Linked DNA regions of Notamacropus eugenii. The protein of the gene in region 1 interacts with the protein of each later gene in a biochemical or structural test. Links are inferred from orthologs where the notes say so. Each region holds a gene or a part of one and is shown in the gene's direction. Other genes may lie near its edges. The genes, in order: UPF2 and UPF3A.

Region 1 (7,902 bases):
ACAGCTCTTTGCAAAGTTACCAATGCTCTCTTAACTGCCAAATCTAATGGCCTTTCTTCAATCCTTGATCTATCCTTAGGCTTTGCCACTAGTAAATCACCCTCTTTTCCTCCATAGTTTCTTTTCTCTAGGTTAAGACATCATTCATTCCTGGCTCTTTATCTAGACCATGTCCACTAAGGATGAGTGTCCTCCTATAAGCTTCTATCCTGAGCCCTCTTTTCCCCTATGCTATTCTATTTGGTGATCTCATCAGTTCTCATGGATTCAATTATCACCTCCAGCCACAGCTGGGTGGCACAAAAAATATAGAGTGTTGGACCCGGAGTAAAGAAGCCCTGAGTTCAAATCTATCTTCAAACATTTGTTACCTTTGCGATCCTGGGCAAGTCACTTAATGTCTGCCTGTCTCAGTTTTCTCAGCTGTTAAATAGGAATAATAATAATAGCATGAAATATAATAATGATAATCCTGACCTCCCAGAGTTGTTGAGAGGATAAGATGAGATATTTATAAAGCACTTATTTAAGCACTGTGCCTGGCACATAGCTGGTACTTCATAAATGTTAATTGATTGATTGATTGCTAGGGGTTTTCAGGGTGTTGTTCTAGACTCTCAGTCTCCAGCTTCCACTTTAACTTAGTGTTGCTTAGCTTGGGTATAAATTAACCCTGCCACCCTTCTCTAGTGATCACAAAAATCTGATTCCTTTTGTTTAAATATAATATTCTTTTTTTTTAAAGGCCTGAGCAGAATGCATTATGAAAAAAAGCAGGAGTAGCAATCATGATCTCAGACAAACTTAAAGCCAAAATAGATCTAATTAAAAGAGAACGATAGGGAAATTACACTATGTGTCTGCAATATTGTTTTAGAACATTTAAAATAACTAGACAACATGAAATACCTGAGAGTATACCTGTCAAAACAGACACAAGAACTATATGAACATAAACATAAAACTTTTTTTATACAAATAAAGTCAGATCTAAAAATTGAAGTAATATTTATCATTCATGGGTAGGTAAAGCCAATATAATAAAAAAACCGACAATTCTATCTAATCTATTTATTTAGTGCCATTTCAATTAAATTACTAAAAAATTATCTTAGTGTTAGAAAAAAGAATTACAAAGTTCATTTGAGAGAACCAAAGGTCAGGAACCTCTTTTTAGATGTAAAGGATGCTGATTCAGCAGCGTCAGACCTTAAACTATATTATAAGGTGAGAGCATTGTTGAAGTGTAAAATAAATAATTTTTATTATTCTAAGTTAAAATTTTCTTGTATAAATAAAATCTATGCAGCCAAGAATAGAAAAGGAGGGAAAAACTTTCACAGACAATCTTTCAGATAGTATGTGGTTGGGTGGAATATTGTTGTGGTGTAGGAAATCATGAGCTGGTTAATTTAGAAAAACATGGAAAGACTTGGACTTATGAAGATCCTATACACCTTCAGAGAAATAGATGGTAAGTAGTAATATGCCTAGTACGGTCTTCATATATATATATGTGTGAGTGGCTATGTGTATATATGCGTGTGTGTGTGTGTGTGTGTGTGTGTGTGTGTGTGTGTATGTTCATCCTTCATTGCCGAAGAAGACCATGCCATCAGAGAAATAATGACATGACTTGCACTTGACTTTGTTTTGAGTGAGGGAGGGCTGTGCAGGTCACCAGTCCCACTTCTCCTCCAGAGCCATCTGAATCCAGTGACCAGATATTCAACCAGATATTTAGGATGACTGGAGATGACCTAGAATGAGGCAATTCAGGTTAAGTGACTTGCCTAAGGTCACACAGCTAGTGAGTGTCAAGTGTCTGAGGTGAGATTTGAACTCAGATCCTCCTGACTCCTGCACTGGTGCTCTATCCACTGCACCACTTAGCTGCCCCATCCCACCAACGTACTCTGTGATTGAATATACTGTCTTCTTCACTGTTCCTAGCTCAAGACACTTAATCTTTAGATATCAAGCGTTTTCACTGGCTATGAAAATTATATTTTTTGTGGCATTTCCTTTTTCCCCACTTAATAGTACATTTTTTCTAATTACTTGTAAAGATAGTTGTCAATATTCAATTGTATAAGATTTTGAGTGGCAAAAAGCACCTCAATGATGGGGGATGAGGAAGAAGCAAGAAGGAGTTCATAGTAAATGGCCTCGATGTTTTTCTATAAAATATATGGCACGGTTCTCAGCTGAAAGTGGGGGGGAATGGAGGCCATGGGAAGTTTAAGAAGGGATAAGTGTTGGGAAGAACTTCTCTGGAGAGTGGGATAGAGGGTTGATAAGGGAAGTATAATAGGATGGCTCAATAGCAGTAAAAACCCGAATAAGATAAACATAACATAAATTTGTAGTGGATCCAGTCAGAATCAGTGTGAGATTTTCTCCACCTTCACTCAGCAATGGTGGGAGTGATCAGTAATATAATAAGGGGATTAAAAATTCAAGAGAGGAAGACGGAGTAGAGTTGAATTGCTTCACCAAGGGGAAAAGATGGGGAAAAGAAGAAAGAATGGTGAATGCAGAGAAGATAGCCTGAGAAAAAATTGAGGGGCTGAGGGATTGGAGGCTACTCTGTGGACAAAGAGTAATATTTTGTAAGGAAAGGCAGAGGAAAAGGTGAAAAGCCAATGGCTTATAGTTGTATATGGAGATTTCAGAGTTCTGGAACAAAGATGTAGTACTTTTGTGGGTAATAGTACCCATATTAGTGTGCGGCTGAAGTGGGATAGAGGAGTAGTAACTTGTAGGAAGTAAGTGGCACGAATATTGCATATATTGTCCAAAAAAGAGTAAGTGTGTTAGTTTTGACAGTCTTTTTTATTGTTTGTTTCTTTTTAAATCTTTGTTTCAAGGGTTGGTTCCATTAGGAAGGTGAAAATGAGCAAAAAGAATATTGTGATTATAAAACTGCATATCCTTTGATGCAGCAATACCACTGCTAGGTCTGTATCCTAAAGAGATCATAAAAAGGGAAAAAGAACCATATATACAAAAATATTTATAGGAGCTGTTTCTGTGGTGGCAAAGAACTGGAAATTGAGGGTATACCCATCATTTGGGAAATGACTGAACAAGTTGTGGTATACAAATGCAATTGTATACATAAAAAACATAAAATAATGAGCAGGCAGATTTCAGAAAAAGCTGGAAAGGCGGGAACCGATGTGGAGTGAGATGAGCAGAACCAGAATATTGTACACAGTAACAGCAACATTGTGCGATGACCAACTTTGATGGTCTTGGCTCTCCTCAGCAATGCAATGATCTAAGACTACTGCAAAAGACTCATGTTGGAAAATATGATTGACATCCAAAGAAAAAACTACAGAATCTGAATGCAGATTGAAGTATACTATTCTCTCTCTCTTTTTCCTTTCTCGTGGTTTTCCCCTTTTGTTTAGATTTTTCTTTCCCAACATGACTAACGTCTAAATAAATTTAATACGACTGTGCAAGTCTATATAGCCTATATCAGATTGCATGCCATCTTGGGGGGAGGAAGAGGAGAGAGAGGGAAAAATCATTAGTGCCCCATCATTGCTAGTCAATAAATTAAGTGCTTACTATGTTCCAGGCACTGAACTAAGTGATGGGCACACAAATATCTGCAGAGATAGACCCTGACCTCAAGGAGTATACAATCGAATGGGGCAAGAAGCACAAAAGGAAGCTGAAAATTGCTCTCCAGAATGGTTAGATCAATTCACAACTCCACTAACAACGCCTGAACGTTCCAGTTTTCTCACATCTCCAACATTTATTTTTGTTTTGTCCTATTAGCCAATCTGATAGGTGTGCTGTGGTACCACAGAGTTGTTTTAATTTGCATTTCTCTAATCAATAGTGATTTACCACATTTTTTCACATAACTACAGATAGTTTTAATCTCTTCATTGGAAAACTGCCTGTTTATATCCTTTGACCATTTATCAGTTGGGGAACAGATGAGTTTCTTGAAGCATGGTGGAAAGACCCAAAGAAGTCCAAAAGCAGCATAGCTGATCGGACATTGTCCTCATAGATCGTGTTCCCATTTTTGACTGCAGAACCCGGTCATTTTATGTACACACCACTTTTAATACAATAGGGAAGGTTTGTTGGGAAATTAAATATGACACTGCAAACAGCCAAAGGCTGGAAATCCCACCATTAAGTTAAGAACTGAAAGCGCAGAAAGGTGCCTTCATAAGGCACTCCAACACTCATAACAGACGTTTCGCTTCCTCAAGTCTCCCTGAAACCAGGACATTGGTCAGGTGACGTAAAGCTTTTCAAAAGTTAAGGGGTGACGTGAGCATGCTCGATAGGCCAGGGAGGTCTCATGGGAATTTTTCAGAAACAAACCTATTTAACCTGGTTCTTTCCAAGAATGGCGTGGGTACTGACACTCCTCCTATTTGGGAGAGTGGAGGATTTTTGGGCGAAGATTTAAAAATTCCTTTGTTTATTTTCGCCGCCCCTTTCCCTTCGAATCCTTAGGGAGCTAAATCTGTTACAATATCTCCTATGTTCCAATGAGTAACTCCCTTCCCAAAGCCCAGATCTTTCTTCTCCTCCTACCGTCACTAAACTTTTTTCTTTTCAAACCTTAACCCTTAAGTTCCTATCAAACTATCTTCAACTTTGTCCCCAACGTTGTCCCGTAGTTGCTTTTGACTCCTCCCACCCAGGGCCTCATGTCCCAGTTCTCACCCCCTCCTTAGGTGAGGCTGCGCCTGCGTACTTGTCTTTCCTGCTCTCCCTTTCCTGGTGACCAACCCACTTCCTGTCTCTCAGCCGTCAGAACGCTCCTCCTTTCCTTTGCTGGGGCCCCGGGTTGAGGAGGTGGTAGTGGGTGGAGAGAGGTGGAGGAGGTTGTCCTGGACATCGCCTGTCTGAAAATCCCACTTGTCTCTCTCTCGACCCTTCCCAGGCAGCAACCTGAACTTGTCAGGATGGGGTGGTTCGGATTTCCGTAGAGAACCTGAAGGTCGCCATCTAGGAACCAAGGAGCGGGTGGTGGGTAACCACCCGCAAGCTGGAGGGCCGGGAGACTTTCGTTCAGGCAATCGCGAGGACAGCTTCTTCCTGCCACCTCCCTCCGCCCCGCCCCCACCCGCAGTTCGGGTCCGCGTTGGTGAGTGGCGGGCGGGAGGGCCAGCGGGCGGGGGGAGGGAGGGGGAGCCGAGGGGAAGGCGGGTCCTCGTCGGGGAGATAGGTGAGGGGGGGAGGGGAGAGAGGAGAGCCGGAGCGGTAGAGTTGGTGCTGGGAAACGCGGGGCTGATGTTGACAACAGGCGAGAGGTGAGTACTGGGGACGGAACCTTTTCCCTCTCTACATTCGCCCTCAGCCCTGGAGGCAGGAGGCGGGGGCTAGAGGGAGGGAAACCTGCCCTCCCAGCTCCCTGGGGCGGGCAGGCGGGGGGGGGGGGGGGGAGGGACACGAAGAAGGCGCCTCCCCCCACCCCCCATACCTTAGCTCTCTGTGGGGACCGCGGAAGGGACGGAGGCGACGGGCTCGCCCTCCGCCGGCCCCCGCCCACCGGAGGAGGGGAAGGAGGGGGTGCGCGCCCCTCGGAGCCTGGGCCGGGCCGAGGGCTGGAGGTGGAGAGGTCCGAGGGAGTTGGGGGGCGTGGAAGGGGCAGAGCGGAGGGGCGATTTTCGGTTTTCTTTGGGGGGGGTTGTTGGGGGACGGGAGTGCTTCGAGCCGTCTCGGTGCCGGGGTGGGCATGAGGTGTGCGGCGGGTGTGTGAGCAGGTGGAGGTGCCCGTGTCCTGGGCCACGAGTGAAGCGAGGTGTTGGAGGAGAGTGGGAAAAGAGAACAAAGTTTGCCGGGGCTAAGCCTGGCCCAAGGACGAGGGAGAAGGCGCGGGAGCCGGGAGCGGGCTGGGGGACAGCCGCGTCGGGGCGTGCGGGGGCCCGTGCAGGTGCCATTTGGGCTGACCTGGGGAGACCCCCTGCCCTCCCGAGGGCCTCCGCGAGACGTGTGCTCTTAGGAAGGTCTGTCACTGCAGGACTCCCCATGGACCGCCTTTATCTTGGAGCGTCTTCGCCCTCCTTGGCCTACGAGGGAAAAGTGGGCTCTGCGGAATAACTCGAGAATCGAAAGCGAGTCTGAGAGACTCCCCCTTCTTTTTATCGGCTGGGACTTTGTTCTAGTCTTGTTAAGTGTCGAAGTTTGGGGGGAACTTAAAGACCTTTACATTGCACTAGCATGGGTGACACTTGCACGCGCACACACACACACAATCAACCCCTTTTAAATAAACTCTTGTGACTGCTGTTATTCTTTAACGTATAGAAATTATTGGCAGGAAGCAGATTTGTTGGGCTTGTGTACAAATACTACCCTTAGACTAGAAGAAGGTGAAAACTTGGGAACAAAGGTAAACCAATATTCTCTCAGTGACTTCTAAAGAGTATTCTTAGAGCACTAATTTTATATTTTAACCTGTAATCCAGTTCTCAAAAGGAAAATGATATCTATCATATTTTCTTTGTTCCTTCTAGGGAAGTAGGTAGTGAGGTGCTTTGTGCTATTGAGTGAATGCTAGCAAAGTAATAACTTCCAAATGTTAATTAATACGTATGTTTCAAGACTTCCCTGTCCACAGTTGGTAATAGCTCACTTTGATCCTGCACTTGAAGGTTTTGAAGTACTTTCCTCATGTAAGAATTATTATCTCCATTTTACAGATGAGGAAACCCAGGCACAGAAAGGTTAAAGACATTGCCCAGGGTCACATAACTAGCTAGTAAGTATCTCTGAGCTGGGAGTTGAACCAGGTCCTCTGATTTTTCAGACCAATGCTTTTTCCATTACTTTAGGCTGTCTTCTCACAAGTGGAAAACCTGCCTTTTCAAATACTTTATTAGAAACCAGGTACCAAAGACATTTTTGGGTGACATGGATAATAGTAGTGGTACCTGAATAATACTGGTACCTGTATCATAGATTTAGAGATAGAACAGTCATTTAATTCAACCCTTTTTAAGGAAACTGGGTCCCCAAGAGCTATATGAATTCTCACAAGTACTAGAAGCAGAGGCAGAAATTGAACCCAGGTCCCAACTCCAAATTTCTTTCCACTGTTCTGAACTGCCTTTGTGAATGGAGAGCTCTCAGACAATGCAGTTCTATTTTCATGATCATTCTGCTGCTTCAGTAAAAGGATTTAACATTTTTCTTCAGTTATTTTTAATACTTATTGTAAACTTTTCTAGCATTTTTACCTGATCTAAGTAGTGAATTACAGAATCTTAGAATAATTTCAGCAATATATGGAAAGTAATGTAGTATATGGGTGAATTTTTTTTTTAAGCTAAAATGTTAAAGCAACACTTGGTTTGGATCAAGTGGGTTTTTTTTCACTTGACTTTCTAAATATGGGAGATAAATTAGTATAGTGGGAAGAGCATTGGATGGGAAGTCAGGCGACTTAGGTTTTAGTTCTGGTACTGCACCTTTAACTGGCTTTAGTCATCTTTTAACTTCCCTGGGTCTCTTATCTCCTGGGCTAAAATTGAAGGAGTTTGACAAGTTGATTTCCAAGATCCCTTCCAGTTAAAATAAAAGTTTGATTAAACTTTTATTGTGCTTAAAAATTTCTGTCCACCATCTCGTTTATATAGATAATTGAGCTTTTATCTGAACTTTTTGTAGTAGGTAAATTTGCTAATGACTCATTTTAAATATTAACTTTTAGTACTAGGACAAGTAAGTGAAAAAATGTTTACTAAATATTATTAAATCATGCTACCAAATTAATTAAATTATAAATATTATTATTATATATTAAATGGTTATGTGCCAACCACTGTGCTAAGCCCTGAAGATATATGTGTGTGTACGTATGTATATATGCGCGTGCGCGCACACACACACACACACACACACACACAAAAA
Region 2 (7,370 bases), on another chromosome or scaffold:
AATTTCAGATAGTAAATGAATAATTAAGAAAAGCAAATAGGATAATTTCTAAATTCATTAATTTTTATTTCCATAGTTGCTTATTTTAGACAGATGCATATTTTTGCCAGAAATTTACCTTTAAAAGAATGTTAGAGCAACTGCTTAGTTTTCTTAAGGAAAAAAATGGAAATTTTTATGGTCACAGAAGCTGTTGCTGTTGAAATGGTGATAACATATGCCAGTTATATGTCTGGTAGAAACCACAAGCTTTTCTTTGGATAAGCATTTCTTTCTTGGGTACTTTTTTGGACAGAAATAAAAGACTGGGGTATAATGCATCCCAAGATGAAGTCATTCACATCTACAGTTGACACTTGGTCAGGAGTTAATATAACTTTGTTTTGGTCGTGGAAATTTAAGATACCAATATCAAGAAACATTGACAAAACCAATTTAGTTTCCAGAAAACATCACCATCCTTTAAGCTCTTTTCCCTGAAGGAGGAAGATTCCGCTGGTGCTCCTCTTTTAATTGCTTCTTTTAAAAATAATTCATTAAAATGTATTTTAAATGGAAAGAAACTATGATATCACAGGCATATTCAAATCATATTTTAAGATTGGGGAAGAAGAGTTTGGTCTGTGAGGTCTAAAAAGAGTAAATTGTTTCATAATTATTAACATTATTAATAGCAAAAAAAAAAAAAGGCAGTTAAAAAGGCAATGTGATAAATGGAGAGGAAAGGACGCAGGACTTAGTTTAAAGGCCTGAGTTCAAACCTCTGTTATGACATTCAAAGGGTGTCCCTATACAAATCACTTCTTCCTTGAGTCTCCATTTCCCCACTGTAAAATAGGGATGGATGAAAGCATTATATAAGCCAGGAATCACAACACAAACATGAGTTGCCATATGTTTTTTGGGAATTGAGATTATGAAGACAAAATAAACTCTTTTGCTTTCCCAGCCATTGTGATTTCTCCACCACATTGTCCGACAGGACTTGCAAAAAGTTCCTTGTCAAGAAGCAGAAGCAGAATTGTCTCATTCATTTAGTGGATTTGTATGAAAACTGATAAGATAACTTAGGAGAAAGTAAAGCATAAACTGGCTTAAGAACAGCTGGCATGACAACATCAATAAGCACCTAATATATGCTAAGCATTGTACCTGGTTTCCAGAAATACAGACAAAAACATTACCTGACCTCAAGGAGCTTAAATTACATTAGAGGAAACCTGTATATATAGAGAAGCATGTGCAAAGTAAATATAGTAAATATATTAAGTCATAGGGTCATAGATTTAGATCTGGAAGAGACCTTAGAAGCCATCAAATTCAGTCCCTTGATTTGACTGGTAAAGAAACTGAGGCATAGAGAGGTTTTAAATGACTCCCAGAATCACATGGTTATTACATGTGGGAGGCAGGGGTGGAGAAGAGTAGCACTGAGTCTAGCAATTTATCCACTGTGCCATCTTTGCACCCTGGCTTTCTTAGAAACCCAGAATAAGCCTGACCCCCAGCTAGAGGTTCAGTGACCTTGGTTTACATGGGCATGGTGCCCCCCACTCTGAACCCTTTCCCCTCGTTATTTAAAACATGCTTGTTTCCAAAGCATTTGATAAGTAGCAGCATGAATTCTGTCCTCACAACGGTGACTTTTCAGAATACTTCCGCACCTGTCATTTAAGAGGACCTGGGTTCAAATCCTGTCTCTGCTACTTGTATGACCTGGAGCAAGTTACTTGACTTAACCTCCCTGGGTTTCAGTTTACTCACTGGCAGAAATGAGGGAATTGGACCCAAAGACCCTTCTAGTTCTAGTTCTGTGATTCTCATCAAGAACTTGAGAATTTAGCTTCTCATAATAATGAGGCAGTTAAATTAAATACAGAATATTCACACTAAAAATATTTACCCCTAGCATAGACCTGGAAGGGACTCTAGAGATCATTTATTTCAATCCTCTCATATTACAGATAATGAAACGTAAGCAGCCAGAGGAGTAGTGACTGGTCAAGGGCACAAGCAAGACTTGTTCCTTGGTCTCTCCTCTACAGGCACTGCAGGATACTTGAAGTGTTAGCTTTTTTGAAAGGGTAGTCTGATCCATCTATTCTTTTAAGCTTTTTGCCATAAGACCAGCAGTAAAGAAGAAAATGCTTTCACTGCTCACTTCTCTTTAGATACAACGTGATTCTTTTCCATGAAGTGAGCATATCAGACACTTGACCGTTCAGAGCACTTGAAGACATTTCTTTTTGAACTCTCAAATCACTCGTCCATCAGGTTATGAAGGTTGTGTTTGGTAGGCAGAAAGCCTTAAACAAGTCTGCGTTGTGGCTTGGCGATTTCATTTTTATCAGTATTCAGTGATCGGAGATGAGCTTTCTCTTTTCAGGTTCGTTTATATCAGTATTTAAAGTCACCCACAAATATTTATTTAGTTTCACCAGATAGTGCTGGGTTCTATTAAGGAACACAGAGGTATAAGACAAATGTCTACCTTCCCAGAGTATACAGTCTAGCTGAGGAAACAAAACACAACAATAAAAGTCGTGACTGCACAGGAGCGCCTGGTCCACACCAGAGTGCGCCGCTCCTTCTCTGGCCTCTTAGTCCTGTGCACGCTTTAATAGCTAATTCAAAGGACAGCTCCCCCAGAAGTCCTCCCGTGGTCCTTCCCAGACGGTCGTGGCGTTCCGCACTTCAGATTTCCTGCGGTCCTTTGTCTGGACCATGTTTGTGTCTGTACCCTGACCCTCTGCTTCTGGGTCGGGGAGCTACGTGCCTGTGTCCGTGGCACGGTGGAACATCCGCGTGCACACACGCCAGACGGTGCGGGGAGAGGGCGCTGGGCAGATTCGCCCCTCCGAGCCTCGGCTCCTCCCGTAAAGCTGAAGGAAGGCTGCTACCGAGGGCTGCTGTGAGCTCCCTAACCCGAGGCTGTGCTCGCAGGCGGCCCTTGTCTGTCCCGTCCGCGGTGCAGGCGCTCCGCTTTCACCTGGGGCTCCCCCGGTAGCCGCTCTGTACACGGACGCGGCCACGCAAACCTTCGTAACCCCGCGTGGGACAGAAAAGGGACGTTTTTATAGGGTTCTTTCGCTGACAAGATGGTGGAGCTGAGAGAACGTGAACTTGCCGTCGTGGGGACGGCCAGCGTGTGCTGCTCCCCGGGAGTCCCTCGTTACTTCCCACCTCGGACACGAGAGCCAAGGTCCGGCATCGCTTAGCGCCCCGCGGGGGACGGTCGCCTCCAAACGACCCACCCCAAGCCCGGAGCCGAGTGGGGACCACTCCAGCGGCCGCACGTTTGGAGAAGCCCTCCTCTTTAATTTGGGGCCAGGCGAACCCAGGTGCCGTGAGACTCGGCGGGGCGGTTCCGATTCTGTTCTGCAAGAAGGCTCGGAGCGCTTCCGCGGCCCCGGACCCTCCTTCGTCCGCGCGCCTCTTGTCCGGAGGGAGGTGCTGGCAGTGCAGAGATATCACTGCCGCAGACGCTGGAAAGCGTACTTGTAAAGATGACCAAAGCATTTATTAGCAGCCGCCTGTGTACAGGAAAAATAAACCGGTGGCCTTGATGTTTCTGGACGGCGCCCCCATGGTGGGCAGCGCCTGAGCGCCCCCTGGGGGGCTGCTGATGGCCATGGCCGTGGCTTTCCGGTCAGATGGGGGGGCTCGGGAGGGGGGGGCGGGATGCAGGCCTGAGGACCTTCCAGGGAGAACATGGGCTCGTTCTTAATACCCGGATCGCACACACCGAGGTTCCCATTCTGACAAGCCCGAGGCTTCTCTGCATTTTGATCTTTAGCCCCGCTCTCCCGGGGGCCTTGCCATTCCCTCCCCTACAGCCCCGAGCCAAGCCCAAGGACCCCGCACTCGGTGCGGGCGCAGCCCGAGCTCTGCGGGGGTCGCCTGGCCGGCCGCCCACGGCTCGGGAGACAGCAATGCGGATAGAGCGGGAACGTGCCTCCGGGTCCTGCGCGCAGGCGCACCAGCCCGCCCGGCCCCGCCCCGCCCGGCCGCACCCCAGCCCTTTTCATCTCCATGGACAGCGGCACCTCCGTGGTCTCGCGGTCCGCATCCCCTGAAACCGTCTGACCCCAGGCCTCTCTTTTCCGACGCGCTCCTCCTTCCCCCAACTGCCCTGACTCGTCCGTGTCCGCTCCTTCCCTCCATTACAAGGAAGGGGTGGACGGTCACCAAGAAGCACGGCTGGCGGGCGGGGCCGGAGGGGGGGGGGGGGGGTAGCGCGCGAGCGTAGGCGGAGATCTCGCGAGTCTTCCTGACACTCCCCGAACGGGCGGGAGAAAGAGCCTGAGGCTGCGGCGGGTGCGTGATGCGGTCCGAGAAGGAGGCAGCCAGCGGGGCCGGGGGCTCTGGCGTCGGCGGCGCCGGGCGGGGATCGGGCGGCAAGGAGAAGCCGCCATTGCCGCCGCCGCCGCCGCCGCCACCGCCACCCCTGCCACCGCCCCCGGCATCTTCCCGCGGAGGGACAGCGATGGAGATCCAGTTCCGCCGCGAGTCGCCTCGGCGCGAAGCGGAGACGCCTCCGACCGCCGTGTCGGCCTCGGGCTGCGGGGGTGGCGGAAGCAGCGGCGGAGGCGGCGGTGGCGGAGGAGGCGGCAGCAAGCCGCGGGAGGAGAAGAAAACGGTCCTGAGCAAGGTGGGGGGGCGCCTGGGGGGGAGGGGCGGCCGGGGCTCGCGGCCCGGGGTCGGCGGGGGAGGGTCTCGCGGCGGGAGGAAGGGACTGCGCGGAGGCGGCCGCCCCGGGAGGAAGGAGGAGGGAAGGAGGGACAGCGGACGAGCTTTCAGGACCGGGGAGAGCGCCCCGAGCCCGGGGCGCCGGCGGCCGTGGAGGAGGGGCGGAGGCGCAGCCCGGCGGGGCCGCCGTGGGAGGCGGCCGCGCGGGGGGCCGACCACCGGAGCCCCGGGCGGTCCTTTCCTCGTCTCCTCCCGAGCGTGACTTTGTTCCCTCCCTTAGGGCGAGGTGGAAGTCACCTCAGACATTTGGACTTGTAATTGTGTTTAAAATGAAAGTCGAACGTCGTTCCCCGGCGCCCCGCACGGTGGATATCAGTGGGCGGCGTGGCCGCTCCTCCCCACCCGCGCCCAGCCCGCAGCTTCACGAATGCGCGGGGCTCCGGGGACCGACAGACAAAGGGGAGAGACGCTCCGCCGGCCCCTAGGGGGCGGGCTGGCCCGGTCCGCCTGACGTCACCCTCCCCACGCCTCCTGCGGGAGAGTGGAGGCTGCCTGGGGGCAGCCCGGGGGCAGGGTCGGACTCGGAGAAGGCTGGCGGAGAGTTCGTGCTCCGCAAAGCGGTAAGTTCTGATCGACCCAAGAAGAGCTGCGAATGGCGGCATGACCTGAGAATGCGGCTTTAAAGTGACCGTGGAGAAGAAAACCGTCCCCGAAGAATGGTCCACTCATGCACCTGAGGATATTTTTAAGAGATGAATGTGCTACAGAGAACCAGAATAGTTACTTACAATGCAGGCTGGCTAGTTAAAAAAAAGAAGCCCAGTATTTCAGAGTTCCGAGGACCCAGGCTGGAAAGGGTTACGGGGAGGCGGCAGTCCAGTCCAGCCTGTACCGAAACAGGAGCCTCTTCCCCGACCTCCCGTAGAAGTCCTTCGCCAGGAGGAGCCTGAAGATCTCCACTGCCTCCCTAGGCAGTCCATCCTGGTTTTGAATGGTTAGGAAGCATCTGTTTCTCTCCGTCTTGGGTTGTTTCTAGTTCTGCCCTCTGGGCTCAAACGGAACAAGTCTAATCCCTCTTCCACAGAGTGACCCTTCAAACACTTGAACACCAGGTCTCATACATCTCCTAAGTAACCTCTTCTCCAGGCCAGGTGGCTCTGCTTCCTTCCACTGAACCTCCTATCTCATTCTTTCTCATCTCTTCTCCATCTTGATCACCACGCTGACCACTGTGTTCCATATTTACTCTTAACCAGGGCAGGCTACAGCGGAATGGCCTGCTTCCTGTTTGATCTCTTTTTGTCTTCATGCAGCCCAGAATCACACTGACTAGTCTGTGTATGTTCATCTTATTCCAAGGCTGTATGTGCCTAAATCTAGTTACCAACAAATACACTTTTAATTAGACTATCTTCTCTTACTCTGATCACCTAGTATTTTCCAATTTCATAATGTAATACAAATAAATGCATGTAGAGTGCAGAGAATGACAATTTTTTGTTGAAATAAGAAACAAAAAGTATTTTGGGGAAAGAAACACCTTGCAAAATAATCCTGAATTGATTCAAAGATTAGAAGCATCAAAGGAGCTTGGGCAGGTTACCTAACTCTCTGGGCCAAAGTTTCTTTGTCATTAAAGTAAAATTAGATGACCTTAGAGGTCACATATAATTCTAAGTCTATGGTACTGTGATCCTGTAAAGGTCTTGTTGGGTTGAATGGAAAGTGGATAACATTTTATATCTTCTTTCCAAACAAATGGAAAACCTAAATGACTAAGAGGACTGTTGAGAATTCAGTACTTCATATTTTTTGATTCAGTGATTTTTGTGTAAATGTTGGTAGTTATGTCCAGTCTGTAGCTATTATGCATAAAAAAGATACCTGTGTCTATTACAGAGGCAGTGTGGAATGTCGGATAGGGCCCTGAGCCTGAAGTCTGAAAGATTGTATTTCAAATCCTACCTCTGGTACCTGGGGGTTAGGTGCCCTTGGGCAAGTCTTTTAAACTCTTCTATTTCATAGTCTTAGGCACAGATCCTTCAGGTATTTATGTACTCTGTCCTGGCACAGAGCCTTCTTTAACAGTCTATCTCTTCTGTAGTAATGAAAAGGTTATAGATAGAATTCATTACTTAAGGAGACGTCTGAACCTCACTGAACAGCAGTGAAGTGTTTGTTTAAGCAACATCATCAACAGATTTGGAGACTAACAGCCTCTCTGCCTCTCATCTCCTAATACAGTCTTCATCCTTTCCTAAAATTTGTTGTTTTTGATTAACTCATAATCTGGACAGGAGCTGAGTCTATTTTATACGGGAATTAGAATGTAATTGGTACTTAAGAAAAGTAGTAAGTTTAATAACTTTTTTTCTTGTATTTTTCAGGTAGTTATTCGTCGACTTCCTCCCAGTCTTACCAAGGAGCAACTGGAGGAACAGTTACATCCACTTCCTGCTCATGATTACTTTGAATTTTGTACGGCTGATCCCAGGTGAGAAGGACCTATTTTTCAACACAAAGAAGCCAAGAAGTATATTGTCCAGTAATGAACAGTTACATAGAAAACAAAAATTTCTCCCCCTTCCTATAACCCCTTTCATATGTGTTCACAGTTCACTGTGCATATTTTCTGTATAAATTACCACTCTAAATTAGTAAATCATTTTTTTAAGCATGTG

The links.
Region 2: the proteins of UPF2 (region 1) and UPF3A form a complex in vitro, tested with the Homo sapiens proteins (2 studies listed by IntAct, with this or other methods). The link is inferred for Notamacropus eugenii from reciprocal best matches to the Homo sapiens genes UPF2 and UPF3A.

Annotation. Positions count from the first base shown.
Region 1 is NC_092874.1:170,054,820-170,062,721, forward strand, and holds the start of UPF2 (regulator of nonsense transcripts 2), read left to right. Parts: upstream 1-4,738; 5' UTR 4,739-5,134; exon of another isoform or gene 5,135-5,300; intron 5,301-5,426; exon of another isoform or gene 5,427-5,608; intron 5,609-6,692; 5' UTR 6,693-6,751; intron 6,752-7,902. UniProt on the Homo sapiens protein: Involved in nonsense-mediated decay (NMD) of mRNAs containing premature stop codons by associating with the nuclear exon junction complex (EJC).
Region 2 is NC_092877.1:206,134,269-206,141,638, reverse strand, and holds the start of UPF3A (regulator of nonsense transcripts 3A), read left to right. Parts: upstream 1-4,265; 5' UTR 4,266-4,324; coding exon 4,325-4,651; intron 4,652-7,076; coding exon 7,077-7,183; intron 7,184-7,370. UniProt on the Homo sapiens protein: Involved in nonsense-mediated decay (NMD) of mRNAs containing premature stop codons by associating with the nuclear exon junction complex (EJC) and serving as link between the EJC core and NMD machinery.